2 linked regions of the Caenorhabditis elegans genome follow. The protein of the gene in region 1 interacts with the protein of each later gene in a pairwise test. Each region holds a gene or a part of one and is shown on either strand. Other genes may lie near its edges. The genes, in order: F08F3.4 and add-1.

Region 1 (13,464 bases):
TTTGAAAAACGAAATTATATATTTTGTTCGAAAACTCGATCAGCTTCTTCCACAACAACCGACTGTCATCTAAAAGTTCAAAAAACACAGAACGCATTCCACCCTGTTGCTCTTGGCTTCTTCTGATTTTCTCCTTATGTTTCTTTGTTTCAATGGTCTTTAAAAACCCCTTAAATTTTCAACATTTTGAAGGATGTGCTAGATATGGAATGTCCGCACGATGCTCAGTTGTTTGATCCGAACAGTAACAGTACGCAGGCATTTCTTCGGAAACTTGCACATTTTCAAAGGTTTGTTAAACTATTTTTTGTGCACTTCTTTCAAAAAAAGAAAAATGAACCAATGATTAATTGTCAGATGGTACCAGCCAATTCACGGATATGTATGTGTGCTCATCTGCGTTTTTGGTATCTTCACCAATTTTGTGCATGTGGCAGTTTTATCGAGACCCAACATGCGCAATTCGGCCGTCAACTGCATACTGACAGCAGTGGCTGTCTGTGATATCGGAACAATGGCATCCTATCTCATTTATATTATACATTTTGTCTTACGACGAAATAATTCCTGGTAATTCTTGTGTGTTTATTGGGTGGAAATGTTTTTGTTTTGGGAAATGGAGCGGCGTGGCGGCTTTTGAGTAGGAACATCAACAAATATGGAATTTTTGGAAAAATAACACAAGCTTTAAAATATTTATTTTCTGGTTTTTCCTATTCCAATTTTATGGTGAATTGCAAAACCCGGAAAATGTCGGTCACTTCATAAAAAGGATGTAGAGTTCGAAGGCGCTGATTGGTTTAAAAATAGTCATGGCTTCTCATTTTGGAAAAATTCAAATATGAAAATTCGCAATTTCAAAAATTGGACATTTTTAAATCTTTCTCGATTTTTTAAGTTTCCTTTTTTTTTGATTATGCAGCATATATTTGAATATTTCGAATACTTTGAAACAAAATCCTTATTTTCCAAACTCTACCTCAAACCATTAATAACAAGAATTCAAACTAAGTGTGCTCTTTCTATTGAAAATTTTGAAGGATATTTATATTCTTCTATTTTTCCACTCAAGTATCAACACACACACACAAAAAAACATCCTCAAAGTAATAATGGAATTTCAAAAGTTGAATGCCCATGTTCGTCACTTGCTGCACTTAATTGAAGAGGCATAGAATTTTAGTTGAACCTGGAACTATTTATTTCCTCCTATCCGTTTTATGTGCATCAAAACATGAAAACAACTGCATATTTTATTGATCATAGGAAATTTTGAAAATCGTCACAAAGCTACAAACTACGTGTATTCATAAATAACAAAAGTGAATTCAAGATGAAAAGTCGCTCGTAAAATGATACTGAAAAACACGAAAACAAGCGTTTGCAATGAAACTCAATAATTTTTATTATTAGATTTTATTACAGCACTCCAACGTTCACTCATTCTTGGTTACAATTCCTATTGTGGCATGTTGTTTTGAGCATCACACTACACACAACTTCTTTATGGCTCGCTGTGGCGATGGCGTTCATTCGGAGGATGACATTAAGGGTTACCGCTTTGAATAGGTATGCTGGGAGCAAAGTTTAAGGGACTAACATTTTTTTATACACTAAGATGAACAAGTTTTGTAATGAAAGTTTTCAAAATTTTTTTCAAACAATGGTAGGTATCCAAAAATATTTAAAATTGAAATTTTACAAAGACATTGCAAGCAATATACCCAGAAACGTTGGCCCCCTTAAAAAATCTGGAAATTTTCAGTCAATGGCAACGACCAAAGTTCGCATGGAAGTTGTGCCTGGGAATCTATATGGTCGTATTTGTACTTTGTATTCCAAATATGCTGGTCCACGAAATCGCCCGTGTAGAAGGAAATGACTGGCGACCTGGCAAAACGTGTCAAAAATTTGCATCGAACTACTCTGAACCGGTGTACACTTTTATGGTCAGCCACGCGGCGACTATCAACAATTGCCGGTTGTTTAAATGGAATATTTGGATGATTGGAATTCTGTTCAAGGTTAGCGAGTACGCGAGTTATCAAATTAAACGTCCTACCAGTTTTCAGATCATTCCATGTATTCTGCTAATTTTCTTGTCTTTCGGCCTTGTATCAAAGATTAGAGACGCAGAAAAGCATCGGAGGAAACTAACGAGTGTTCCGTCAAATGCATCAACAGATTCAAAACCATTGAAAAAGTATAGTCAACTCTCAAAGAACTTTTATGACAAAATGGAAATTTTCAGAAAGAATGGAACATCAGATAGAACCACATTGATGCTTGTTGTTATTTTATTGGTATTTTTAATAACGGAGTTTCCACAAGGAATCATCTCGATTCTTTGCGCAATTTTTACTACAGACGTTCATAGGTAAGATTTGATGTTTAACTAGAAATTTGGCCTGGAAAAACTGAAATCGAACTGCCCCAAGCTTGACCCAATTTTTCTTGAGTCATTTGAATTTTTGGAAATTTGGGTGCAGGCTGAGTCTTGCAAAAGTGTTGCTAAATTTTTGTTGGCCCAATTAAAGCTAAAATTGGGCGCTAAAGAAGTTTTCGAAAAATTAAATTTTCCATTTCAGATACCTCTATTTCTACATTGGTGATGTTCTTGATCTCCTATCGCTTGTCAATTCCTCTGTAAATTTTGTTTTATATTGTGTGATGTCTTCAAGATACCGGCAGACGTTTTGGGAAGTTATCATTCCTTCGTGGGCTTGTGGGTAAGTTCATTCTTATTGAACCAGTTCCTGTTACAGTAGTCTAAAATAAAATTTTTCCTCTCAGATTGTGGACGACCCGTCGTGGTTCTCCGACGGAACTTTCACAGCTTCAGTTGAACAACAGCTTACGACTAGGAAGGTCAGTTAATTTGTTTTTGAAGTCTGGAAAATATTATCTTTAATTTGCAGAAAACAAAGCTATACGCCACTGGCAACTGAACCGGAACCAGCACGCAATGAGTATTGGCGGTATGAAGCTTCCGTGTCGGACAATCAGAACAGCAGTAGAGAACATCAACTTTAAATTCCAATTTTTTCGATCTCGGTACAAATTCCCTTTGCAGATTTTTTGTGATATCTTGCTCATTTTCATAGCTTTCGCATTTTCTATTCTATTCTTGTTACGGGTACTTTTTGTTTTTTATTAATTCAGTTTTTATATAAATCAATATGGTTTACAAAATTATTAAATTATTCACGGCGCCGTGAAAAAAAAATTGTTTACAAAAAGACACGTAGATGTGAGTAAAACTAGGAAAAAAAATTATTTTCAATTGAAAGTGATTTCCGAAAGGTGAGTTCTCTTTTTCTCTTCCAGGAATCAAAAGTTAAAAAGGTTTGATGTTTTAGATTATGAAAGACGACGTCGTTGACAACATAATAATTGATGTCCTGAGCGCTAGTACTCACGAAAAGCTACTTTCCGAAGTGATCACGGAAGGACGAGTTCTAAAGCTTCTCGATTTGGCACTGGATGTATTTAAAAGACAGAAATCAATGGTTGAAATGAATGCTCCGATAAAGGTGTGCGGTGACATCCATGGACAATTCCCGGATCTTCTTCGTCTCTTCCATCGTGGTGGATGGCCGCCGACTGCGAATTATTTATTCCTTGGTGACTATGTGGACCGTGGAAGATTTAGCATTGAAACCATTGTTCTTCTTCTCGCTTATAAGGTTTGTTGCTTTAAGTTTTGCAAAAAGAAGCTAGGATCAAAAATTGTGACGCGCCAGAATTAATCATTGACACAAAGAATGCCAAAACAGGGGATTTTTGCAGAGACCGCTTAGATTTTCCAAAATAAGCGTACACATGTGATAAATAAATGTGTTTTCAAAAAGAAACATATTTATTGTCCATCACATATTGCTCTGCAAAAAAGTGCGCATCTCTCAAGTATCAAAGTGACAGAAAGTTGATGCTGCTCCGATGAGCTGTCAAATTTGAAAAATGACGTCAACTGGAGTGATGGATCTTTTGGACGTTTATTTCTCTCTCCCGATCTTCCAAATCCCATGGCGTGAACTTCTTTGAAACATTTTTCAAGTCATGATTCCAGGTGAAATTCCCGGGCAATTTATTCTTGTTGCGTGGAAACCATGAGTGCGAGTTTGTCAACAAGGTATATGGATTCTATGAAGAGTGTCAGAAACGCTATCAAAGTGTTCGCATGTTCACGGCTTTCCAGGTAAATTTGATTTTTTACCAAAATTGAACAATAAGGTGCAATATTAATACAGGAAAAACGGTACTTTCAGGACGTATTCAATTGGCTTCCACTCTGCGGACTCATTGCTAATAAGATCTTGTGCATGCACGGAGGACTATCGCCTAGTATGTCAAAGGATTTCACTTTGGACAACCTGAGAAAAATTAATAGGCCATGACGGCAAGGAGAGACTGGTAGCTGATCTTTTGTGGGCCGATCCTATTAGTGGTCTTTCTGGGTTTATGGTAACTTTCTGATAAGAAAAGATCGATTTCATCAACTTTATTCAGGAAAACAACCGAGGTGCCGGGTGTGGATTCGGAAGAGATGCTGTTCTGAAAGTGTGCTCCGATTTTAAGCTTGACCTGATCTGTCGTGCCCATCAAGTTGTTCAAGACGGTTATGAGTTCTTTGCTGGTCGGAAATTGGTGGTATGAGTAAAAAAAAAGTGCCGAGAGAAAGGAACATTAAAAATTTTTAGACAATCTTCTCGGCTCCTCATTACTGTGGTCAATTCGACAACTGTGCTGCCTTCATGTCTTGCGACGAGAAGCTTCAGGTAAAAATTTTTAATTGAAATGTTGTAATAAATGTGCATTCTTACAGTGCTCGTTCGAAATTCTCCGTCCAACGAGTGGCCGCCTTGAAGTTCGCGAGAAACCATTGCTCAAGGATGAAACAAACTGATGGATGGCTGATTCATAATTTCCTTCAATAAATGAATAGACAAATAAATGTGGTTTTGATATTATTTGTAAAATAATAATTTAATGTTTAAAAGTAATATTTGAAATTTGGCCAACAACCTGCCCAGCCAGCTTGACAAACAACGACACCTTTCCGGTAGAAATTTTCACCAACTTCCCGTCTTTTTTGAGAGAAATATTGCAGTGGAGATCTTAACAGTGGTGATCCCAACAGTTATCCCAAAACTAGAATACCACAACACTTTAAATTTTTAACTGATTTTTCAATCTTACCAGTCTATGTTTTGATCTTTTTATCCAAAAAATTGAATTTATTAATATTTTGAGAGACCTCAATTAGTTATATTGGCTTCAGATCCTACATTTTTCAATCATCGTGACTAGCTGAAATTTCTAATTCGGATAGTCCAGCCAAGGCAAGACGGGTGTCATATGTTAGACTTTTAATCATACAGTCACGCTTGTTATTATATCATCCCACGTGGCATCTAGTCAGTCACACTACTATTAGTCACTCTACTTACTCTTATAATTTTTTCAAAAAAGCCTACGAAAATCTTTAAAATCTGAACAATCTGAGTACATCCGTACCAAAACTGTATCCCAAAGTAACTTTTTAACGAAACACGTGTTTGTCTCTAGGTATGCGTTGGGAACAAAAAAGGTACATACTTATCTTTGATTCGTCTCTCTAGCAATTGGGGGGGGGGGGGGGACAGGCCTTCAGCAGGCAGCATCCGTCAAATTGCGTGATAATTGAATTAGACAATGACCACGTGTGGGAAGAGGACAAATGAGTGTATGTCTTCGTCGTCGTCGTCATCAAGTTATAAGATCAACCCTCCACCCATTTCGTTGAAATCAGAAGGCGTCGATGTCTAAGTCTCTGATCAGGCGACCTCACTGGTTCCTCTTTTAAGAAAATTCCCACATAACTACACTTGATTTGATTACTCATTTTTCTAACTGTTAACTTTTTTGATTATCAACTGTTCTTCGTCTGCTTCCGTGTCACACAAAAAATGAAAAACTTGCGAGTTTTTGGAAGAATTCACAATGCCAGAAGAAACTATTCACCTTTACCAGTTGATCCTTTATTACGGTTTAAAACAATCAGTCAAACACAAAAAGCTCCTCGAGTTTTAATCACTGGATCTCTTGGGCAGCTTGGAAGAGGTTTAAATTCAGTCTACAAGTACATGTATGGATCTGAATGCGTTGTTATGAGTGATATTGTTCGTCTTCCTGCAAATGCTACAGATGTTTGTAAGTTGAAACTGCTTTCCATATTTTCAACAGAAAATTAATTTATTGTGTATTTTAGCCGACTACAATTACCTGGATATTTTGAATCAAGGATCTATTGAAGAAATCGTTGTTAACAAAAACATCGACACAATTGTTCATTTCTCTGCACTTCTATCAGCTGTTGGAGAAACAAATGTTCCGTTGGCTCTGCAAGTGAATTGTAGAGGAGTTGAGAACATTTTGCAAGTTGCTGCGTAAGTTCCTACTTGTATTGGACTATATCTTGACATTGTATTGTTTCAGAAAACATAAGCTAAAAGTGTTCATTCCATCCACAATTGGAGCTTTTGGACCAACAACTCCAAGAGAAAACACTCCAGATCTTACAGTACAATGTCCTACAACCATTTATGGAGTCAGTAAAGTATATGCAGAACGTCTCGGAGAATATTTCAATCATCGGTTTGGGGTTGATTTCAGAAGCATGAGATTCCCGGGTATTATCTCAGCGACAAAGCCAGGTGGTGGAACTACTGGTGAGTAAAATTATATAATAATTAAACGAGAATTTGAAACTTTTTTCCTTTAAAGATGAAGTACGGTCAATTCTAAAATGACCAAATATTATAATAAAACTTAGAGAAAAAAATTTGAAAAGGTGAAATCTCAGTTTTCACCTATCTTTTGCAAGTCGTCGATTAAAAAATCAGAAAAAAATTTCTTACAGCTGTTTGATTATGTTGAAAATGTTCATAGTTCAACATTGGGATTTGAACATGCAACAATGTTTTAGATTTTTTTTTTTTGAAAAATGGCAAAACTCAGTAATTGCCACTTTCTGACTGGCAATAAAAATTTTCCAAAAACTTTTGGAAAAGTTTTACTATGAAATTTGGTCCTTTTAGCCCTATATGAATGGTTTCGAATTACTTCCCAACTAATTTTTGATACGACCTTTTCAATTAGAAAGGTTTTGTAACACGATTAGAGATAATTTCCTTGCAGACAAACGGTATCAAAAAGTGGTCAAAGTTGATCAGTTGATACATTTTTGAAAAGAATATTTCTCACGTACACAGTCAAAACTATCCTCCTTTCAGACTACGCAATCCAAATTTTCTACGACGCTCTTCAAAAAGGCAAGCACACCTGCTACCTTCGACCAGACACACGTCTTCCAATGATGTACGACACTGATTGTATGGCTTCAGTCATTCAACTTTTGGCTGCTGACAGTCAATCATTGAAGAGGCGAACATACAATGTAACGGGATTCTCATTCACACCAGAGGAAATTGCTGATGCAATTCGAAGAGTGATGCCAGGTTTCGAGATTGATTACGATATCTGTCCAACAAGGCAGTCTATTGGTAGGTGATATATGATCATTTTTGCAAGTGGACTTGCAAAAAGAAATACCTCTTTTAAAAAAACTAAAATAATTTTTTTCAGCCGATTCATGGCCTATGTCATTGGATGACAGTGAAGCACGTAAGGATTGGGGATGGAATCCAGAATATGGTCTCGATGAAACTGTTCAAGTGATGTTCGCATTGCTGCGAAGAGAAGAAGACAAACCTACAAAGATTGTCAGTACTGCATAAAAACTGGTTATTTAGGCATTAATAAATCATTTGATCTACTTGTTGCAAAAATAAAAGTGATAGAGAGAAAAGTTTACACTTGGAACGGATAGAAAGTATCAATGGGTGCAAAATGGGTGTATGACACAAAAGCAAGTGGTCATTTGAACAGCATTTCAGTTAACTGTGGGGTTATGAGAAGAATTAGAGTGCAATTCATGAACACGGTTGTATTTTTGTCAGCAATTTAAAAATTGACACTTGATTATTCAGAAACATCAGTTGAGATGAAAGAATATGCGAAAATCGAATAAAATTTATTAGATGTTAGTGATACATAAGGTTGAGAATTAGAGTGAGAAACAACAATGTGATTGAAATGAAATGATGGTGTAACAGTTGTCAACTGAGCTCAACATTCTCTGCTCCACTCTTCGTTTTGTTTCTGCTTTGAAGGTTGTAGCTGGGAATCATAATTTACAACAAAAATGATTTCAGGTAAGTTTCACACATATATTTTATATATCAAAATATAAAAATGTTTTTTTATTTCTAAAAAGCAAATAATTTAGTCTAAATTTAAAATTCTTGGGTTCTTACTTTTAAAACGTTTTTTACAAACCAAACCAATTAGAGCAACTAATTGAGACATATTTTCATACACAATTTCCATAATTTACGTTCAAAATTTTTGTTTTCAGGAAATCCATATTTAAACATTCAAGGTCCTTTTGGAAACTTTTCAGAAAATGAAAAAAAGCAGACTTGTTTTAGGCTCCGTATTCAGGTTTGGCTTGCAATTTATTTTTTTGCTTCAGAAAATTTAATTTTTCAGACCTGGGTTTACATACATTGTGGGATCAGTATTGCTACCTCAATAATTGGAATCACGCTTGGAGTATTACTTTTGGTCAAAACAGAATGGCATGAGAAATTGTTTATTTATAAATTGACGTTTGCAGTAAGTTTTTTTTCAAATATTTAACTTCAAAAGTGGAGAAAAGCAATTCGGTATTCTGATTTAAACCATAGAAAATGGACCGTAATGGGCAAATACAATTGCCAAAAAATTGAATAAATAATTTTCCAAAAATGTTTTTATGATTTTTCAATTTTTAAAAAATAAAAAGGGCTAAAAAAGGAAAAACGTTTTCTGGCTTAACTAAATGGATTTTCGCTAAAATTCGAGCACAATCCATGTAAAATCTGTTTGAAACCAAAAATTGGATGTGGGCCGTATTTGTAAATTTTTTATGTGAAGCAGTTTTCGAGCATTTAAAAAATTTAACAAAAACCAGTGCATTTTTGTCCAAAAGCAGAAAATGCTTTCATGAACTTTAACATTTTGAAAGTTAAAAAAAATCAATTTTGTTTTTGCAGTTAATATCGACAATATTGACTTTCAATTTGCTTTTTTTTATACTTTTATTCAAAAATATATTATGAATAACCTATTTGAACAAACTCTCAAGCTCGACAAGGAAATCTAATGACAGTAAAAACTGTCTGAACCAAGAATGTCATATTTTAAAATGTTCATACTTCTCTCCCAAGTAATTTTTCATTTCAGTACATCCGACGTGCTGATCCCGTACGATATTGGATTGCATATCGAATATTTTTCGGTTTTTGGATTTCTCTGCATTCTCTTCACTTGCTTTCAATAATTTCCACAGTTGTAGCTGTACATGTATGTTTCCTTTTCAGATTTTCAAATATCATGTCTTTTAGAAAAGCAACCTAAAACTTCTTAAACCGCAACTTTTGGTTCTCGTGCTTCAAATTGGGCTCTTCGTTATTGCCATTTCAAGTTTAGTCGTGTACAGTATGACTGGATCTCGCGTTGCTTGGTTTACCCTGATAGTTATAATATTTCATACTTTATTTGCATGGTAAATTTTTAATTCTTAAATTAAAAAATATCCATACAACCAATAAAATAATTTCCAGCACAAACTTGTATCTACTCGCAAAATTTCATCGGTTTTTGGACGAGAAATTGATGATTCTAAACGAAATTCTGAGCGCTCAAGCAAAATCGGTACACTTCAAGGACGACTCATCGAACTCTTAATTGATTAATTGAATTTGATATTCAATATTGGAATTTCACTTTGTGAACGTATCAAATCAAATAAATTGATTACGGTTTTTCTAGAAAGCAAGACTAGCGGGCCTATGGGCCCGCCAGCCCTTCGGGAATGGGGATAGGGTTAATTCGCTCTAAGTTATTAGCAAGGTAGCTGGCGCAGGTTCTCGGCTTCGCCTCGAACCTGTTAACGGGTTATTCGAGATCTCTTTGAAATTATTTCAGGAGTGGGGTATATGTTTAGAAAACTTGACTATTCAGGTTTGAGGCTTCGCCTCGAAGCTCTTACTGTGTAAGCGGCCCTCGAACCTGGTTGTTAGGTTTGAGTAAATAACAACCGCGTCGCAGGCCTACAGCCTGCTCTGCTTAGAATAGGATTAAAGCCAGCCCACAGTTTTCAAGAGTATTCGGGCCTGCGGCCCTCAAACCTGGTTATTAGGCTTGAGTGAATAACATATCTGCTTAGAATAGGATCAAAGCCAGCCCATAGTTTCCAAGAGTGTTCGGGCCTGCGTCCCTCGAACCTGGTTGTTAGGTTTGAGTAAATAACAACCGCGTCGCAGGCCTACAGCTTGCTCTGCTTAGAATAGGATTAAAGCCAGCCCACAGTTTTCAAGAGTATTCGGGCCTGCGGCCCTCAAACCTGGTTATTAGGCTTGAGTGAATAACATATCTGCTTAGAATAGGATCAAAGCCAGCCCACAGTTTCCAAGAGTATTCGGGCCTGCGGCCCTCAAACCTGGTTATTAGGCTTGAGTGAATAACATATCTGCTTAGAATAGGATCAAAGCCAGCCCATAGTTTCCAAGAGTGTTCGGGCCTGCGGCCCTCAAACCTGGTTATTAGGCTTGAGTGAATAACATATCTGCTTAGAATAGGATCAAAGCCAGCCCATAGTTTCCAAGAGTGTTCGGGCCTGCGGCCCTCAAACCTGGTTATCAGGCTTGAGTGAATAACATATCTGCTTAGAATAGGATCAAAGCCAGCCCATAGTTTCCAAGAGTGTTCGGGCCTGCGGCCCTCGAACCTGGTTATTAGGCTTGAGTAAATAACATATCTGCTTAGAATAGGATCAAAACCAGCCCATAGTTTCCAAGAGTGTTCGGGCCTGCGGCCCTCGAACCTGGTTATTAGGCTTGAGTAAATAACATATCTGCTTAGAATAGGATCAAAGCCAGCCCACAGTTTTCAAGAGTATTCTGGCCTGCGGCCCTCAAACCTGGTTATTAGGTTCGAGTGAATAACATATCTACTTTTTGGAAAATCGTGAACGCCTGTGGGCCCCCAGCCCTTCGGGAATGGGGGTTGTTTTAGAAAACTGAAAATAATAAAAGCTTTCTAAATCAAACTTATCTAAGAGTAATCGCATATCAGGCCTCCGGCCTGCCTTGGTATAATGATTTCAGGTTTACTGCGTCTTCTAAGAGTAAGAGTGCCTGCGGCACTCAATCCAGCCAATCTGGGCTTAAAACAGTTGTAATCGGACAGCAGGCCTCCGGCCTGCAATGCCTGAAGTATATGTTCAAAGTGAACTTCTTCTTAGAGGAAAAGTGCCTTTCTATGTTTTTTTTGGAAAGAAAACATTTTCCAGCCACCCGCACTCATGCACTCTCTTGTGAGGACAGGCGACCTGTGAACAGTTATGCACTAAAACTTCAATCCGTCATAACTTTGCTCATAGTAGAAGTTTGAAAAAAATAAAATAATTTTTGAATTTGGCGTAAAAAGTAGAACAATACGGCGGTTATTATTTTAAAAAAGAACAAAAATTGAAACATATCCCCTTCTGGGAAGGCCTGGAAGCTCAAAACTTCCCTAAATGTGCTCAAAGTTGTCAAGACCCACCAAATTTAGTTTGTCTACCTTGCTTTAGTGAAAATTATCAAAATGAAAACATAAGATCACAATTTTAGTTGAAAACTTGTCCAGGAACAGTGGAAAACTGGATTTCCACGTGCAAAAATTAAATAACCTATCTCCGCGAAAAATGATCGGATCGAGCTGTGATTTGAGATTTCATTTTAAATCATTCTATTAATTCTAAATTTAACATAAAAACCGGAACGATAGTGGAAAGTTTGTGAATTTTATGGAAAAATGTAAATTGCTTGAAAGAAGTGTTCATTTTTTCTATTTTTGAGACTATTATTTACCTTTTTTGAAACAAAAAATTATATTTTCCGCTTCCTCTCGATGTGATGAACATTTTTCCAAAAAAAAAATTTGGAAAAAGAGCAAGACTAACGGAGATTTGACCGAAACAATGGTGAAAATGTGGCCGAAAACACACCAAATATGAAAAGGGGAGGTGGGTGTGTGTGTGTGTGTGAGAAAAGGGGGGAGGTGCAGAAATTTTGGCAAAACTTTAATTATCGTTTTTAAAATAACGAATAGAGATATCACAATGAACTTAGATACAATGGATAGGCATTGAAAAGGAGAACTTAAGTTTCGAGTCTCAAACGTTTTGAACATAAACTCGAATTTTCCTTCAATTTAAAGTGGTTTTCGGCCAGTACTTCGGTGTGCGCAAAAACAAGAGGGGTGTGGTTTTCCGCTTGTGGAGCCGACAGGATGCTCCAAAATCAACCCCCTTTTAGATGAACACACGTCGCTATATTTTGTGAATGTAGAGAAAAGAGAATTTCAAAAATCGGTTCCGTGAGAGCCGAGATATAAACGTTCAAAGTTGTATTACATTTTTTCGGACATTTTTTGAACATTTTTTGAACACCGAAAACGCGTGTGTGTGGCAAGATGGGGGTTTTAGGAAGGAGGCAGATGTATTTTTTAATTTTGCGACCATTTGCCCGCGATTCTTTTTTAAATATAAACGGAATAATTCAATAATTATGAGCAATTGGATCAGTTTCAATAGGATAGAATTGACTACGATTCCTCATAGAATCTACTTATAGAATCTATAGAATCATAGAATCTAGATTCTACTGAGGAGAGTGTAACTATCAAACCAACTGTCAACTCACGAAATACGTGCAAAATATCAAGAGAAAGAATACAACCAATTTTTTAAAACATATTAACTTTTTTATTTGAAATTCGTTTTTTTTTCATATTTAAAAAATATTTGTAGAGCACCAAAAAATCGAAATGTTGCACCCGCTTCTTTTGCAGAATCATCGCGTTGTGAATTAATATTAATCGTTGATATTAATCAATTGATACATATAAGGAAATAATTTTAACATAGTTATTATAAACCAATTAGTTCAGAAATTCACCGGAACATGCTTAGATGTTACACGATATTTGGGATTATATTCCGGGAAACGTTCGTGCCAGACAACAAACATAAATGATTTTGGCTTGTTCACAATTGTGGCAAGCATTCCGTCTTTTCTTCTTCTAACGTCGATCTCGTCTCGAGCTTTCATGATGTATGGGCATTCGAGGAAGTCCATTCTGAAAAGAAAAATAACAATAAATTTCACTGATGACCATAATCAAAACTCACACAACATTTTCATGTCTGCGCTCCGGATGCCATCCCTGAATGTCCAAACCTTGGATGATGTGTTTGGGATGGAAGCCAGAGTTGTTATTGTGGAAAACCTCAAATCTTTGCAAGTTCGGACAATATCCGGACACCCAGCTCCT
Region 2 (17,270 bases), on another chromosome or scaffold:
AGCTCTCCAACTCGAAAGCCCAAATCTGCTGGGGTTGAAAACGCGGCAGCTCGTCGAAAAAGGACTGCGACAACGACTCGAACACCTCCTGCCGCGGCAGGACCCGCGCCAACGCCACAGGCAACCACGACAAATCGAACGCATCAATGGGTACTGCAGCAAACCGATTTGGTTCCTCAAAAAAGCAAATCATAAATGTTATAGTAAATGATATTCAAATTTAACAACTGTTTCAGTTTCATACATACCAAATCTTTCTGTCTCGAACGCGGTGATATAACTTATTTTAGCCTCCCATTTCTTTCTGCCCCCAACTCAACCTCCCCCCCACCCCATCTCTCTTTCCAAAAATTCATCTCCTATCTACCTAGACCGATTTTTAAATTTGCCATACACAATCTGGTGCTCCATAGAAATTTGTACCACTTTCTTCTTTCCGCTCAACAGAGTTGGCCATGAGCAACAACTTACTTTCAAACATCGTCTTTTCTTGTTTCATACTTGGGTCGCCAAACAAGTTGCCTATTCATTGTCCGGAATTCTAGCCATCGCTTTACACTTTTTAGCTTGTTTTTTTTCTAAATTGATTCCTCGATGTTGTAAATAAAGAATTTCAAACATTCAAACGACATTTATTATTAATATTTCAAATTTCAAAGCACAACAAATTCAAAAAAAAGTTGGTCGCTTGAGAGTTGACATTCCTGAAGATTTTGCTTGCTTGATCCGTTTAACACATTGCACTTGTTTGACATCCACCTGGAACCAAACTTGTATAGTTTTACATTTTTTAAGTTTCAAAAGTGTACCTTGAGTACAGCAGTATCCCTTTTTCATGCAATATCCTGGGTGGTGTCCAATCTAAACTTCCGTCACATTATTACTTATTTCAACATGCTAAATTCAAACCTTGCAAAAAAGTTCTGGGCAAACGGCACTGTAGCTGCACTCGGTTGACATGAAGCATTCCTCGTTGGTGCAACACCTTCCCTCAGAAATACAAACTCCTTCGTTTTCTATTCCTAAATTAGAGCATAAGATAATTTTTTGTTCGGATTCCTTTAAATTTTTAACTTACCACAACTGGAACAGCGAATAGTTCTACCATATCGCCTGTACGGACAAGAGTTCAGGAAACAAGCACTAGCTAGGCCGATCGAGATGGCGAGTACCAGGAGGATAGGTGAGGAGCCCATGTTGGAATGGAAAGTGAAGATTGAATGACAACGAATGGCTCTTTCCTCCTCGCCTGGATTTTGGATTTCATCGCAGCTCCGCCCCGCTGATAATCGTCGACTTAAACCGCTTTATTACGACTGAAATCCGCGCGTCTTGTTATTTGGCGATAAGTCGACTCACGCGTCCTTCATGTATATGACTAGCTTTTTTCTTTCATATTGAAAGCTCTGAAACACGGATTTAGTGACAGTTTCTTGGGATGTGTGTCAAAACAAGTCAGGACGTGGGTTTGACAGAAGTTATCAATTCAAGTGACGTGACTAAGATTTGATTTGAAAAATAATTTCAAAAAAAATGCACTAAATTATTTCAAAGGATCAGTAACGGTTCTGGGAATTTTGAACGTGTAAACTCAAAATGTGCTCAAATAATCGAAAATAGTAATTGTTCAACTTTGTTGTACGGCGGTTTGTTTTCCGTGTCGCAGCTGTCTGAAATTTACTGTTTTAAACTGTCATTTTTAAATTGCATGTTTCGGTCGTTTACCAATAATTTAAGCAAAGCCAACTATGACACGGGACAAAATTGAAGGTTTCTGTTAAAATTTGGTTTTTTTTCAAAATATTGAAGTGCCATAAAAAAACGAGGGAATTGCAATTTCAACCCTCCAAGCTTTTGCAAAGCTTTGACAATTCCGGGTAACTCGATGAACTTTACAAGTTTTTTCCAGATGGTTACGGACAGAGCCGTACTGTTAACCTGGCTGAGCTGATCGGTTTATACTCATTTTTTGTTTAATGCAGCTATCTCAAAATCACATACAAAATTCGTCTAAATAATAAAACCAATTGGCACATGACAAAGAAATAATTATTAGGATGTTATAGAAACATTCGGGGTACGATTTCTAAGAAGTAATATACCCTCACACAATTTTAGCAATTTTGGCAGAATTTTCTTTTTTCCAGATATTTTACAACCAGGAGTTCCCAAATCTGCCAATGGATATATGGATATAAGGATATAAGAATTGTCGAAAATAAAACGTAAAACGTGTATTTTGCTGTCACCGTTTTTTTTTAGATTTTTGAAATACACTTCAAATCAAAAAAAAATTATTTTTTGACACTTTCAGAAGAATTGCAGACTTCGTCGATTGCCAAAAACTTCCGAAGGTTTCAATAATTCACAAGTTCCCAACAAAATTCAAAATCAGGTTACAAGGTGTTTTTTATGAGCAGAAGTGAAGCAAAAAGTGTCAAAATTTAGGGCATCTGTTTGGAAAATGTTTTTGTCGTTATTGAATAGAAACTCACAATATGAATCTGTAGTTTGCAATGAAACAATTGTGACGTGTTATAAAAAATCATATGAAAAGAGATTACGAAAATTGAGAAAAAAGGAAGTACAAAAAAACAAAAATGTTACTCAAAATATACTAAATCCGCATCCAGATTACATAGAAGTTCATTGATGTAAAAGTTTTACAACTCATTCACTCACTCAGAATCTACAGACTTCTGACATAAAATTAAAACAACAAAAAACGGCAAAGTGAACATTCTCCAGTTTCGAATATACGCCAAATAGCTAATTCATCAAATTTGGAGCGCACATTGGTAAGTGTTTGAAAAGATGCGGCATTTGCTCTGGGGGATTGCCGCGACTTCACGACACCGATTTGTCATCTGGAGTCAACTGGCATTATCTGCTGCTTTGGTGGTATACTTGTTGCTTTTACGAGCACGTCAATGTGTTACATGCTCATAAATTAGAGATTTTCTACAATCATTATTGCCAGCAACAAGTTCCGTTGTTCCAAAAAAATTGTGTTGTCTTAAGAGGAGGGGCCCTTCTTGTGTCTTCTCCGAGATTCGTGCCTCTTTTTGTCTTTTAGTTCTGCAGAGACTAACTGCGTACTTTAAAGCGACCAATTCCGTACTACTAGAAGATTGCTCTAATTCCATTAGGCTACATCTTTCAAACTGCCGCATCTGGGTCACCGTTACTTTTCCCCACTTTTCTCCCAATTTTTCCAACAAATCCGTTTTGAGCACTCAATCTCGAGTTTATCGTGTTTTGATGACTGTTAGACGCGTAAACGCGTAACACATTTCCAATGGGCATCAGCGTTTTTTTCTTCTTCTGAACAACTTGATAGATTGTTGCGTATTCTATCTTCACCCGTCAGCTGAAATGCCGTTTTTTTCGGAGTGCCTTTTTTCGGTAAGACCTTGTTGCTCCACATTTTTTTCACGCGTAAGGGACTTTTCTCGCTCGTTGTGCATGAATTTTTGTCTCGTTGCCCTCCCATCCTCTCCACTCTTCCCCCTGCTTTAAAGATTTGGCCCTTGTTCTTCAAAATTTTCTGCAAGCAAAAAAAGATAGAAGGAATATTTTTCTGGTCCCCTCCTCGCACCCCTCCATGCTTATTGGCTTTAGCCAACAGGATCATATTTCTAAACGCAATTATCTACTTTCAAAACGATCTCATGGCATCTAACTGAAAGTGTGGTTGTGGTGTTGCTTCTTTTATTTCTATCTATCTTATAGTTTTTGTTTCATTAGAAAAGTACACTAATCGTTACTTACTTCTGTTAAATAACTCAATAATTGGCGTCTTACCATTCCTTCGTTCAATTAGTACTGCATGCAAGCTTTAAATATATTTTTGTAAATTTGAATTTTTCTTTCTTTCATTTCTGCAAGAATTTCCAGCACTTTCAAATAAAGAAAATGTAAAGCAAAACAAAACACGAAAATTTCGAAAACTTTATCTCAACACAACAAAAGTGCATGCAGAAACTTCTAAATTTCGGAAACGTTCATTCTGAGAAACAATTTTTGAGAAAGTCTCAAAATAGGAAGAGTGACTAAATTGTATGGTCCGACATTTACCTGGTTCCCTAGACTAGTTTTGCAGGGTTAACACAGTGCGGCGCGGGGCCCGGTAGATGTCGGACCAGACATATCTTTCACACTTCCAGTTTTATGGTTTTCTATAGAAAAAAAAAGTCCCTCGGGTATGTCTTTAATTTTGGAGTTTATGCAAACATGAAATGCATATTTCTGTTTTATTTAGGAACATATAACATTTCAAACATCTCAAAAATAAAGTACCGTATATTCTCTATTAGTGCTGCAAGCAGCACTAATTTCCAGGCCCTTTTTGAGTGCAGCACTATTAGAGACTGCGGTACTAATTTTCGAACGACTTTTTTCAATTGGAGATCACTAGTTTTTAGTCACAAATGCTCATCTTTTAAGCAGAAATCCATTAAAATTGAGAAATTTTGTAACAAAAATGACCCAATAATTCAATTATGTTTGTAAATTAACTAGAAATCTTCAAAAATATACAAAAAAAACACTCCCCAAAATGTCAAAACTATTGAGTGACTCTTTCAGTAGAAAATGGGGTGCAGCACTAATAGAGACTGCAGTACTACTGGAGATGCAGCACTAATAGAGAATATACGGTAACAAGGTGTAATAATGTTTGCGGAAATGTAGTAATTCCAGAGTTCGCCTCAAAAGCACTTTTTCATTGAAACTTCGAAGCTATCATTCTCTGATCACAAAGATTTAAAAATATTTACAACCACAAACTGTAAGATTCTTTGTTGCCGGATCCATGTTTCGCCAATGTTATTGTTGGACGATCTAATTATTCAAACGCACTCTCTCCGACCGCCTTGGGTTCTTTAAACGAAATGCAAATTCGAGTGCGTGTAAGATAGACCATCGGGCGGCTGGTGCATGGTCTGACAAATGTTCTATTCCATGCCTCCCATTTCACACTTCAACTCATTATTTGTGTGTGTTGTCGGTCGCTACGAAATGCTCCAAATGGCACTATCTAGATGACAACTGATAGCACATCTTGTGTACTGCTCCTCTTTTTTGCAGAATAGTTTTGTTCCGAAAAAGTTTGCCTGTTCATATTCTTCCACTTCTCGCTTTCCAAACTCTCTTCTTCTCAATACGTTTTATTCTCTCTTTGCCTTACGGGCACATCAAATTTTTATGACAACTGTTTCGAGCAACGAGTATTGTACAGTAACGCAGCGAGTTTATCGATTCTTTTTCTCAGCGTTCTCTGACTTCCTATTTGATTATTTGGTTTTCCACGCAAAACTGAATTCAAAAATCATATCACTGTTGTTGAGCTTTTGTTTTGAATAGCAAACAGTTTAGCTTTCGAAATTCGGTGTTTTCAATGAACCGTAAGGCGTGTTTCGTCTTTTCTCCAAGCCAAAAGATACACAACAAATGAACACTGCCTTTTTGAGTCTCCAGAAACCGATAGACAACCTTGATTTGAATAAAGATTCTGTTTCGCTCAATTGACAGCAGCGATCTTTTTTCAATTCTTTCGTTTTTCTCACTTTCTATTTACTTCCCTAACTTTTCTCAATAAAAGTCTCCAAGAAGGGTAATTGATTCAAGGTGAGGAAAAAGGGCGAGAGATACATGTTTTGTTTTCCTGTTTTCTCCACTTGTTCTTTTTATCAGATCTATTTAATCAAAAAGGTTAAAACAAATAGTTTGTTTTACTATCGTCACCATAGGTGTGTGTGCGTGTGTGTTTGATATAAGATTTAATCGCAATTCGGCATGTTTCTTCTATTGTTGCCGCATTGGTTAAACACCAGTTTGGGGTTTTTTTGGAAGAGTATTTCAAGTTTCTGAAAGTTAAAGCATTTCAAATTTCAGACTAAGAATTTTACAGTAAGTGGTATTATAAATAATTGCATTGACCGCAAATTATTGAAAAAGCTTAGAATTTTTAAATAGAAATATTGTTTCAGCATTTCGTAGTAGTGCTGCAATATTATCTTATCGGAATAATTAATCTGAAAAGTTCAAACCGATTTTTAAATTTTGACAAATTTATTTTGAGTTATAAAACTCTGTTTGCGGAAAAATGGTTACTTTCCCAAAAAGTAATGAAATCTCACAAAACTAATTGGCCTAGCTCAATTCGAAAATTTCCACTTCCATTTTGCTTCACCGTTCTTTTTCATTTGAGCCACCCTACTTGTGCACCACTCGGACAAGTGCATTCTATTTATTCCATTTTCTTTTCATTGTGATTAACCATCCTGAATAAAATGTCTTGGGTTTTCTGCTCGGCGCCTCTTTCTATCTTTCTCCAAAATAGAGTACATGTAGACTTGAGTTTCTTTTCGGTCTTCCTTTTCTTCCCTCATTCCTTAAATTAGATTTGACATAAGAAGAACTTTATCGCAACAGGCGGATACCTTAAGGTTCTCATTCTTGTTTGCCGTTTATCGCTTCCATCGCAGACAAAAGTAGTGTGTTGGAGAATTTGACTGACGCAAAAACCACAAACATTTTAGGGTCAAATTCACATTTCCAATTAATATTTTTCAATATTACCGTTTGCCATGCTTCATAGGTAATTAGATGTATACACTTTCTCATGGCAAGTGTGCCACCCGTAGAGCAAATGTTATATAACGCAGGAGGTATGCAATAACCAAATTTTGTATACAAATCAGATGGCTCGCCATCGAATAGTCTCACGCTGAATGAACTATTTTTCGATCAATTCATGCTTTTTAGTACAGCTTTGTGTAAGCTGTGTGCTAGTAGAAATGTCAAATTATTTTCATGAAATTGTATACATCCGATTTAGCATATCTTAAAAAATCCTTATTTGTAAATACAGTTTCCGATAACTTGTGAACCCTTTTTTACTTAATTTGATATTTCAATCTTTAGTAAGTTCAACTGTTAACACCTTTATAACAGTTTTTCATCTTGAAAAAATGTCTAAAAATTTGACAAACAGAAATTTAACGTTAAAAGACCAATAATGAAACAGGAAAACAAGACAATATCAAAAGTAGGCCATCCATTTGCGCGGGAATTTAAACATAATTCAGAAAATCATCGCACATTTAGAATAATTTTATTATTTTTATTTTTAAATTCATATTTGTACACTACATCCCATTTTCATATTTGCAAAGTAATGTTTACTTTTCTAAACTTTGTGATTTTTTCTTGAATTTCAATATTTCAATCTCATTTTCAATTTTCTTAAACTTCAATAAAGTTTCAGATGATTGGAAGAAAAGAGAAGGAACGGGAACGTCCATACTATCGAGACCCAGATGACCCTGAATATATCAAAGATTTGCAAAGACCGGCAGTAATCAAAGTAAGTGCTGCTCCAAGTTTTTCCGTAAAAAAAACTAGAGCACATCAAGTTTTCCCTCCTCAGCTCTCTTTTTTCTCTTTTTCCAAGAACTTCAATTAATGAAACCTGCCATTATTAGCGCAGTGTCATTTTTTGAAAAGACTTGGGAAATTGAATGGAAAATGCAAGAGAAGAAGAGAAAGGAGTGCTCGCTCTTTAATCAGCTTAAAAGATGGATGAGAAATGCTCTATTTTAGGAGGATTTGTCAGAGATGGAGAGACGGAAAAGAGTGCAACAGATACTTGAATCAAAATCATTCTGCCACGAGCTAGAAGAAGTTATTCGTCAGGTTTGTAATTTGTCTTTTTTCTCGTTATTTTGTTTCAATAAATGTAATTTTGTACAAAACATTTTACATCTAGGAGTGTGATACAGCACGTACGGATCCGGATCACTTGCAAGTACTCCAGAAACTTTCGGACCTCACAGTTCCACAAGGAAACATGTCGTTTGGCAACCTTCACACATATGGTTTGTATTATATTTTGGAATAATGTATTCGAAAAACGGATAACTTGGTTTTTTTTCCTTATTTTGACAAAAGAAACTCGATTTATGCTTATTCACACGAGGAGTTACAACATGTTATAATGCAGAAAACTTTCCTATACGAATTTTAGCTATGCTGAAACCTTGTGACACAAAAGTAGATATACTTTTTTTGTTTTTCTAGTAAAGTATTATAATATCAAAAATCTAAGATTCCCATGCATAAACAAAATTGCAATATTTTTACAAACTTGAACTTCTGTAAGTTGACAATTTCCGATAAATCATGTAATCTATGTTTCAGGTGGAAACACCATTGCAATTGCTGATCTTCGTGGAAACGAGAAGTATTCAAAAGCGGAACGTATCCAGAGAAACAAATTGGCATGCTTGTTTCGACTAGCTGACCTGTTCCAGTGGTCACAAGGGATTCATAACGAAATCTCGGTAGGGTGCTTGAAGTATTGACTTTTTAAAATTACCACAAAAATTTAAAACTTGAACCTGTGGTTTAAAGTAAAATTTTGCAATCAACCAAATTTATTTTACAATATAGCAAATACAACGCGTGTAGAAATTGTATGAATTTCAACTTTATTAAAATACGAAACTTCTGAAACAGCTGCCAAAATGTAAGGATTAATCAGCTTTAAATTGGGATTTTTTTTGTTCAGTGTTGTGTTCCGGTTACACACCACTTTATTTTCCGACGTGAGTTAACTAGCAGGTCCATTAACGACGTGTTTAAAAAAATGTATTAAAATTATATTTCTATGAAACTTCTACAAAAGTAAAAACACCATATTTACCTTTCTAGAAGAATTTTAACAAAATTGATTTAGTATCGAACCAACGATGAGGATAACACTTTTCTGATGAATCCATTTGGTCTTCTCTACCATGAAATCACTGCTGCGACCATCGTGAAGATAGATGAAAATGGAAAAATTCTGGATTGCGGGACACTGAAAGCTGGAGTCAACCAGGTACCTTTAAAATCAAAAACGACTTATTTTTGCACTCATCAAGTTAAGCCTGCGTTTCTTCTTCATTCTGCAATTTACAAAGCTCACCCAATGGTCAGATGCATTCTTCATATGCACACGGCAATTGTGGCGGCTGTGGCTAGTATGAAATGTGGTTTATTGCCTCTATGTAAGGAAGCAATGGTGCTTGGGCCAGTTGGATATCACGATTATCAGGTTAGCAAAAATATTGAATTTGAAGAAAAACAATCACTTGTGTGGTTATTTTCATAATCTGAAAAATTTAAGTGTGAACGAGAGAAAATTGAAAATCTGAAGGTTAAAGAAACTAGAAGCAAAATCGGCAACCGTTTTTTAAAATTATTTTTTGATGATTTTTTTCCAGTCAAAGTTTTGGTACTTTGCCAAAATTTGAAAAAGTTTATCATGTAAATCGGTAGTTTTAGTACTTAAAGTAGATATAGAAAAGTTCATCGTCGACCTTCGAACGGTTTAAATTTTCATTAACCTTTCACATGACTTTAACTATAAAATCAAAAAAATTGTTGAATTTTCTTTTCAGGACATTGGTGATGATGATATTCAATTTGACGAAATTATTGCAAATCTTGGAGACAAAAACGTGCGTTAGCTTTACTTTGAACTGCTTTTCTATCCGCTTTTCTATGCTTCGTTTCAGGTCCTTTTCCTCCGCAATCAAGGATTCCTTGTTGTCGGTGACACTATCGAGCATGCCACTTTTCTAGCCAACAACACTGTGATAGCATGCGAAACTCAGGTTTTTGAAGTTTCTCATATTTAAAAATTACACGCTGCCCTGCCGCCAGTAGTTCAATTCTATCGCCAAATGCTTATTTTTTATGAAATGACGATGGGATTAAAACATTTAAGGTTCTGCTGATCAGAGGAGAAGGATGTTTTGTTGTTGGAAATTCCGTTGAAGAGACATCTATAATTATGCGCAACTTAGTCACTGCTTGTGACCATCAGGTTTAGAAAAGTTATAATAAATGAGAAATATTATTTCATATCAAATACAAAATACATAATCAAAGTTTCCAAAAACAAAATATTTTTGTAAGGTACGTGCCGCAAGGGCTGGACTTGACAACCTCATCATTCCGGAAGAGAAAGCAATACAAAGAGCGTTCAGAAATTCTCGAAATAGTAAGATTCTGCAATATATATTGAAATTTAAAATACATCTATAATGCTTTTGTAGCGAATTCCCTGAAACGAAATGGAACAGTTGATTGGAGAGTCGGAGAATTAGAATGGGAGTCTTGGATGAGAGTGTTGGATCATGCGGTGAGCAGAATTTTTTCGCCCTGCTCACAGTTGTTTCACTAAAAATTGCTACTAATTATAGAATTTTCAAACCGGGCACGTCTATCGTCAACCACAACTGCGGCCCAAATCTGCAATGTCTACGTCAATGGTGAACAACAATGATGTTGCTGTTCCGCCAACTACATCAGCTTATGGACAAATTGATGAAACAAACTTGGAAAGTGTATCTGCACATCGTCTGGCTTTACTGCGCAAGGAGCAGGAGCGGGTTCGTTGGATGAACAGTCCAAATGCATATCAGAAGGTTGAATTTTTGGAGTATGGAGCAGATAACCCAAAGAAGATAACTAAAGTAAGAACTGTTTTCAACTTTTGCAGTACGAAAATAAAATTTGTACATGAACTTCTGATGGTTTGTGTCATTATGTTTACACAGTTATTTTCATATAAATGTACAAAAAAATTTGAAGAAACATTAAATTAAAAACTATAAACAGAGATTTGAAAACCCAAATAGCTATGATATGGGTGGGCCCTACTAGTGAATTTTTGTTTTGGATAATTTCTATGTCACTAATTTTTGGATTGTTGTCATTATGCACATTATGAATACATGTTATGCTAACGCAATAAAAAAATGTATTTTTCAATATTGGAGTAGTGTCAGAAAATGTTCAAAATTGCTCCAATACCAACTATCGATTCAGGCTGTGCCTAATTGTGTTTTGAAAATTTTGATCCGCAATAAAAATATGTATTAAAGTTTTTTGAGAAGTCTCATTATAAAATTCGGTCGCATTTGGTTATTGAGTTCAAATTAAACATCTATGATAAATCATTGGAGAAAAAATTAATTTTAAAGTGTTTTAAATTTACACAAGTTCAAATCATTTCAGTGGGTTCATGACGTCAACGTTCCATCCGCGAGTGGAACCCCTGTCAAAATCAGCAGTGTTCATCAATTCAGTCCTGCGTCTTCAAATCCTAAAGAATTTAAAGAAAAACAAAAAGCTATCAAAGAAAACAACAGACTGGGAACTCTTTCTGCTGGACCACAAAGCCAGATTTTGGACAGTGTGACATATGAAGACATTGCACTATTGATTAAAGTGAAATATCCCGTCTTGAAAATTCATTTATTATTTTGTAATCTTTCAGCCTGATAATGACGGAACAGTCGGACAGAGCTCGACCGCTGACCGAGCAATACTTATCGGAACTGCCAGCAAGGGAATCATTGATAGGCAATTTCAGCATCATGCTCAGGTGTACCACCAAATCTATGCGCCGAATCCATTCTCTGTAGAAACTGATGCAGACATCAAGAAATATGTAGACATGGTGAAGGCCAAGAACTCGCAAAGCGCTCCTGTCTCAGCGAGAAGTGGTTACTCTCAATACGATGAGGTTGAAGCTGGTAAGGTAGCTGAAACAAAAAAACAGCAATTTTTAAAGTCGTTTTTGAAAACGAAAACTGAAATTCCTTTATTTAAAACGTAATAAAATAAAATAAACACTGCAAAAAATCCATGTTGTGTTGCGAGTTTTTAACTGAAAATCTGGGGTTCAAAACACTTGTGGGATGCCACTTGTTTTGAGTATGTTCTTTTTGGCTCCACTTACAAAATATATTTTTGAAAATATATTGCTGACAAAGGTCTAAAAATAGCTTCTCTAGTTGTAACCAGCCGATTTTCAAAAATTATTCCAGATACAGTTTCCTTAATGCAAGGAGTACGAGAACATAAACTTTCTCAAGCGGCTCTGAGCGCATCTGACGACGGCCTGAATGCCGGAATCTCCCCGAATAATGGTAATTTTTATGTGGTTGCTCCTTCACATTTTATCGATGCGCCTGTTTTCTATCGCTTTGTTTTCCAGTGTTTTAAATTATTTGAATGCCTATTTTCCATATTTCCAGTCCGAACTTCCGAAGAAAGCGTCAATACGTCGTACATGAGCCAGTCAGTTGTGTTCGATTGTAGGTTTATTTTCCTTATTCTTTCTGTGTAGCATGTGTGTGGTGGCTTCAAAGCTTTTTATAACTTTCACAGATTTTCTAACTCTTTGTGTACAGGCGATCACCCTTCTCCGATGTCAATTTCGACAGAGTACCCTGAAAAAGTTAAAATGACGCGATTTTCGTCGACTCAAGGAACAAGTGAAGGTATATTTGTAACTACGTGGTGTCTATTTGTGTTTTCACTTTTTTTTCGAGCGCATCAGCTAACTAATCAATAACTGAGTTGTAACATTTAGGCAATACAACGTCTCGATCGTGCACTACAGCGTCTGAAGAAGAAGTAAGAATTTTTGGAAGCAAATAGTTTTTCAAATGTTTCAAACTTAAAAAAGAATGAGGTTTCTTGCCATAAATAACAGAAAAACTATAAAGTAATATATTAAATTTTTAATAATGTTTTTTTTCAAATTAGAAGTTTTTTTTTGATATTTTAACAATTTCTGAAAAATTTTAAAAAAATTCAATGAAAAAATTAAACTTTTTACAGTTGTATTCTCTATATATAAACTGTTTTCTGTTATTTTGGGCAAAACCCCACTGACTCTACTCTACCTTCAAATAAGATTGAAATATTTGCTAACTTCTCTGCTTTTGGGACTAATCAAGCACTTATTTTACACCGTTTTTTATTTCAGAAGCCTACAAAAGATGAGAAAAAGAAGAAAAAGAAAGGATTTTTGTCATTTATGCGAAAAAAGGACAAATGAAAAATGAGAGTTTTGCTCTCACCTTGCTCTCACCAACACGTTCACATCACTTAACTCTAACACTTTTCGATAACTTTTTCTATGTTTTCTTTTCAATTTTCAGATCCGGATATACTACGCCCAATTTACCGTCAAGAAACATATGTCTAGTCTCTGGACTTTTCTTTCTTTCCCGTGAACTTTCAATTCCGGTTATGGATAATAGCAACACTCTGTGCTTTGTCTTTTGTTTTTCGAATATTTTTAAAATGTCATTTTGTACGCATATTTTTTTTATATTATGTATTTGCATTTCCATCAAGTTTTTTATACTTTCATCTATAAATAATTATATTATATTACAAAAAAAAGCCAGGACAGAGAAGAATTCGGCAAAGTGACTACGAAAATAGCTTTTCTCAACGAATTTAGCAGATTAAAAAAGTTATCCAGTTTATTTTTGGTTGTTGCTATAAAACTCAAAGTGCTCGTTTTCCAGACACTTTCCTTGGAATATATGATAGTTTTTACACACGTTAGATTATCGATTTCCACACCAACTCTAGTTTCAGCAAATTTCTTCGGGTAATCAAATTAACTTTCCTGTAAAAGTCTGAAAATTCGATAAATTATGCTACAAAACAGGCTTTTAAATATTTTTAATGAATGAATTTAGCCGGAAAAATGTTACAGCTAGATCATTTTGTGCAGGAAAAAAAATAAGTTCAGTCTTCTTCTATTTTTTTCTTTGCACAATTGAAAAACATTATTTTGATCATTGTATGACTTTTTACAGTTATGTTTGGAACATTGTGATTATTTACTGTCATTTAGGGTAAAAACCGCCTAGACATATTCTGTAGAATTGCAGAAAAAAATGCACAGCGCTCTTGGCCACTATTTGGCACAACGAATCTTACACATTTTGATTTTTAAATTGTTTGTTCTTGTAGAAATAACAAGTTTTAGTTTCAAAGTTTGATTTTTTGAATTAATGAAAATACTAATTTACGGATAATTTTATGGTAACAAACATGACACTGCACCATGCTGATAACAATATTTGCCTTCATAACCCTTCCGACAAACTAACGTCTGCCCATTGAGTGTCGCCTCATTCGACGGCAAATTGCCATTAATACATTCTCTGTTGTGTTGTTTAGACTATCCATCTGCGTCTCTTCCATCGCAGCGTTGTCTCGCAAGTGGTCGTGGCCGCGGCCGAAGATACGACTCGAAGATAAAAGAGTTGGACACTCTTTGTGTTTCAAACCTTATATTCTAATGTGTTTCTTTTAGTTTTATTCACTAAACTTCAATTTTTTGCTAGCCAGAATTTCCTTTTCAGTTGTGTGACAATGACTGATCCTGACATTGGATTTGATGACATTTTTAAAGAAATATGTCCAAATGAGTGAGTTATTTCATGGTTTGAAGTAGAAAATGAGTTATTTTACCTGTTTAGAAACGTTTATTTTGTTTCAGATTCAACGAATTCGGATTGAAACGTGAGATGCGTTTTATCAGTGAACGTATCATTGTTGAATATGACCCAACGGACCATTTGTCGGTGAGTTAACGAAAAATAATGACATGGAAGAAAATCAATACCTAATCTTTTTGTAGGTTCGCGAAATCATGCATCCGATGGACGCGTTTCGTAGCAGTGAACCATATTTTAAACATAAACTGACTGACAAATCGAAACAGGAATTTGTGACTGCAATCGACTTTCACGAACATATCACTTATTTTCCATATTCCAAAAATACCGGTGACATTTGCCTTGCCCGGTATATTAGTAATTTTAACGATATCAACTTGTGAGTCCGGAATCGAACGTTTGTCAACTTATCATCAATTTTACAGCACCAAAATCAGTGGTCAAAACCTTTGCTCATTGCCTGGTGAAACCATCTACGGGTTACGTGTTGGACGACTCGACAAAGGAATGCTTGCTGTAAATCATAGAACAGATTCTTCTGTGTAAGTTGCATTCAAATATGTGCGATTCGAGCAAGGGTAGAATTGAAAAAAAATCAGCTATTAGTCGAAAAGAAACGGCATAAGTTATGTCTTCCCTAAGGCTTTCATATAGGCGCCAAGACGCCTGCCTGCCTGTTTTTAAAGCAACGTTTGCCGACATCGCGCCTACCCGAGCCTGATGCTAATACACACGAACTTTTTTCAAAACTTTCTTAATGTGATTTTCATCAACATTTATTAAAATTATTCAATCAAAAACTTGAGCATAGACACCAAAGTGCAGGAAAAAGGCGGCAGGTAGGCATTAGGGTGCCTGCCTATCATGAAAGCACCCTATTTTCGATTTACAGCTATTCATATTCCAAAAATCGTGATAAAAGGACGTCAGTGGCATTTTTTATAATTATTATATAAAAACATTTTTACGTTATCCTAAGAAGTCTGAATGTTACACGCGATAAATTCCAAACACAATCAAACATATTTTCAAATCAAATTAGCATAAAACATCACGCTTACACAATTTTGTTTGCATTTAAATTGAAAAAAAAAACTACATGAGTTATGTTTCAAAAAACCCGCGAAAACATTTTCGGAAATAAAAAAATGAGAGAGGGGGGAGGCAGTGAGAGTGATTGTTATGGAGACAGTTAGCCTAGAAATGGAAGGAGCCCCCGCGGGTCTCACCACGACATTGGCGTGATTGCGTAAGAGATGATTATGTTTGAATATTACTCTAAATAAAAACATTGAATAGTAATTTTCAGAAATAGCACAGTAACCGTCATTGATCTTGTGAAACCAGCACGGAATATTGCTCACTACGATTCATATTCCCCTGTAAATACTATTGATTGGATTTGGTAGGTTTTTTGTGGCCTTAAAATGTTTTATAGTAATTTCCTCTAAATTTTCAGGCATGGCCCATTTCTTCTTGCTGTTGGAGATGATGAATCACTCCGTGTTATGGACGTCCGATGCCCAAAAGCTTTCAATGCAGTCTTCTTCGATGGTGGTGTTCAGAAAACAGCTCTCTGTTCGACAAGACCCCTTGAAATTGCTTGCTGGAACGGATCCAACGTCCTCCTGTACGATGTTCGGCGGCCAGAAGTGCCGTGCGCTATTTATGATATTGGACTTGAAAAAAACGAGAGCATACTCGATATGAAGTTCAATCCCTATATTACCAATGAATTATTTGTACATACTAACAGCCACCGCGTCTTTGCTATGAATATGAACCCAACTCATCTAATTGGAGGACGACCGATTTCTGAAAAACCATATCGGAAATGGCAGGTCATTACGTTTAAGCACATTGACAGAGGATGCACTGCAACTCGGCACACAATGTTGCGACGCGAAAAGTGAGTAGTTGAATTCTTGTAATCATTTAATTTTCAATTATCTTTTAGAATGCCTTACGAAGATGCAGAAGTACCGTTACTGGGTTATTACGGGCAGTATGAAGCGGCAAAGAATGACCCACAAGTTCCGATTCCTACTTTGTGGACTTATCCTGCCGAAGTGGTTGGTGTTTCTTTCAAAAACCGAACGAACACTTGTACTTTTTCAGGACATGAAGTTCCTGGCTAAAATTCAAGACGTCCCTGAAATTGATTACGAGTCATATTTGTACAAAGCAGTTGAACGAGTTTCCGCGGAACGAGATTTTAAAATTCACAAGCCAAAGATCTTGTACCAGGCAAAAGGAGTGGAATCGTTTGATTTTGTATTTCCGGGTGTTAACGGTATCATGTGCTTTGATAGAAACACATTTACCTATAAAATTGTCAGGGTTAGCTGAATATAGTTTTTAAACTCTAAATATTCATATTTCGAATTACAGAGTCCTAAACACTATGAAGGAAGCGTCAACCCGTACGCAGGATCCGACTCGGTGTTTTTTTACAGAGGTCTTCAGATTCAAGAAATGATTCCTGCACAAACACTGACCATGATGTGTAACAGGTTAGAAGCTGGATGGAATGCTTATCAAGTATCCGAAAGATCGTTGAAAGGTACACTTTGTCAGTGCTTGTTGATTATAATGAAAGCATTTTAGAACTGGCCTTCAAAATCACGGAAGAAAGTCGATCGGTTTGGGCAAAGTGGCTTCACAATTCTGTCATCATTCAGTATGGAGGCAAAGGTTTGAGTTCTTAGAGAACATAACTCTACATTAACTGGTTTTGCTTTCAGAATTTGGAAACATCGGTGTGAATGACCTCGAATGGGAAGACCTTGTTCCACTTCCAGACGGACGGCTTCCAGAAGTGGAGATCCCTCCGTACGAGTATATGAAAGATAACGTTGCCACTGAAGAAATTACTCAAATGGTTGCCCCATTCTTCAGATTGTTTCTCCCAGATCCTCGTCCGGATTTATTGTCCGATTCGGA

Evidence for each region.
Region 2: the proteins of F08F3.4 (region 1) and add-1 interact in a two-hybrid assay, tested with the Caenorhabditis elegans proteins (one large-scale study listed by BioGRID).

Annotation. Positions count from the first base shown.
Region 1 is NC_003283.11:5,405,166-5,418,629, forward strand, and holds F08F3.4 (L-threonine 3-dehydrogenase, mitochondrial), read left to right. Parts: upstream 1-5,789; 5' UTR 5,790-5,948; coding exon 5,949-6,192; intron 6,193-6,250; coding exon 6,251-6,428; intron 6,429-6,477; coding exon 6,478-6,710; intron 6,711-7,274; coding exon 7,275-7,544; intron 7,545-7,626; coding exon 7,627-7,778; 3' UTR 7,779-7,836; downstream 7,837-13,464. Other genes in the region: dmsr-7 (G-protein coupled receptors family 1 profile domain-containing protein), read left to right, coding at 205-290, 358-570, 1,426-1,569, 1,766-2,024, 2,073-2,203, 2,252-2,377, 2,589-2,729, 2,794-2,868 and 1 more; C25A6.1 (Serine/threonine-protein phosphatase), read left to right, coding at 3,363-3,686, 4,070-4,198, 4,269-4,344, 4,391-4,464, 4,510-4,650, 4,701-4,778, 4,826-4,906; F08F3.10 (uncharacterized protein), read left to right, coding at 8,246-8,255, 8,459-8,544, 8,593-8,718, 9,328-9,447, 9,489-9,649, 9,708-9,831; F08F3.6 (F-box domain-containing protein), read right to left, coding at 13,077-13,269, 13,322-13,464.
Region 2 is NC_003284.9:4,850,037-4,867,306, reverse strand, and holds add-1 (Adducin-related protein 1), read left to right. Parts: upstream 1-7,263; 5' UTR 7,264-7,270; coding exon 7,271-7,369; intron 7,370-7,605; coding exon 7,606-7,698; intron 7,699-7,771; coding exon 7,772-7,880; intron 7,881-8,202; coding exon 8,203-8,345; intron 8,346-8,464; exon of another isoform or gene 8,465-8,614; intron 8,615-8,740; coding exon 8,741-8,884; intron 8,885-8,932; coding exon 8,933-9,100; intron 9,101-9,446; coding exon 9,447-9,506; intron 9,507-9,563; coding exon 9,564-9,662; intron 9,663-9,966; coding exon 9,967-10,051; intron 10,052-10,106; coding exon 10,107-10,192; intron 10,193-10,253; coding exon 10,254-10,526; intron 10,527-11,070; coding exon 11,071-11,283; intron 11,284-11,332; coding exon 11,333-11,591; intron 11,592-11,885; coding exon 11,886-11,987; intron 11,988-12,095; coding exon 12,096-12,155; intron 12,156-12,251; coding exon 12,252-12,341; coding exon of another isoform or gene 12,342-12,415; intron 12,416-12,433; coding exon 12,434-12,477; intron 12,478-12,832; coding exon 12,833-12,904; and 4 more. Other genes in the region: tsp-14 (Tetraspanin-14), read left to right, coding at 1-195; ntc-1 (Nematocin), read right to left, coding at 731-759, 810-861, 910-1,022, 1,079-1,196; F39C12.1 (GATOR2 complex protein MIO zinc-ribbon like domain-containing protein), read left to right, coding at 14,242-14,297, 14,369-14,453, 14,510-14,706, 14,753-14,869, 15,637-15,732, 15,787-16,236, 16,285-16,399, 16,446-16,667 and 3 more. UniProt on the Caenorhabditis elegans protein: Membrane-cytoskeleton-associated protein that promotes the assembly of the spectrin-actin network. Plays a role in time-dependent memmory loss and the retention of conditioned behavior over time.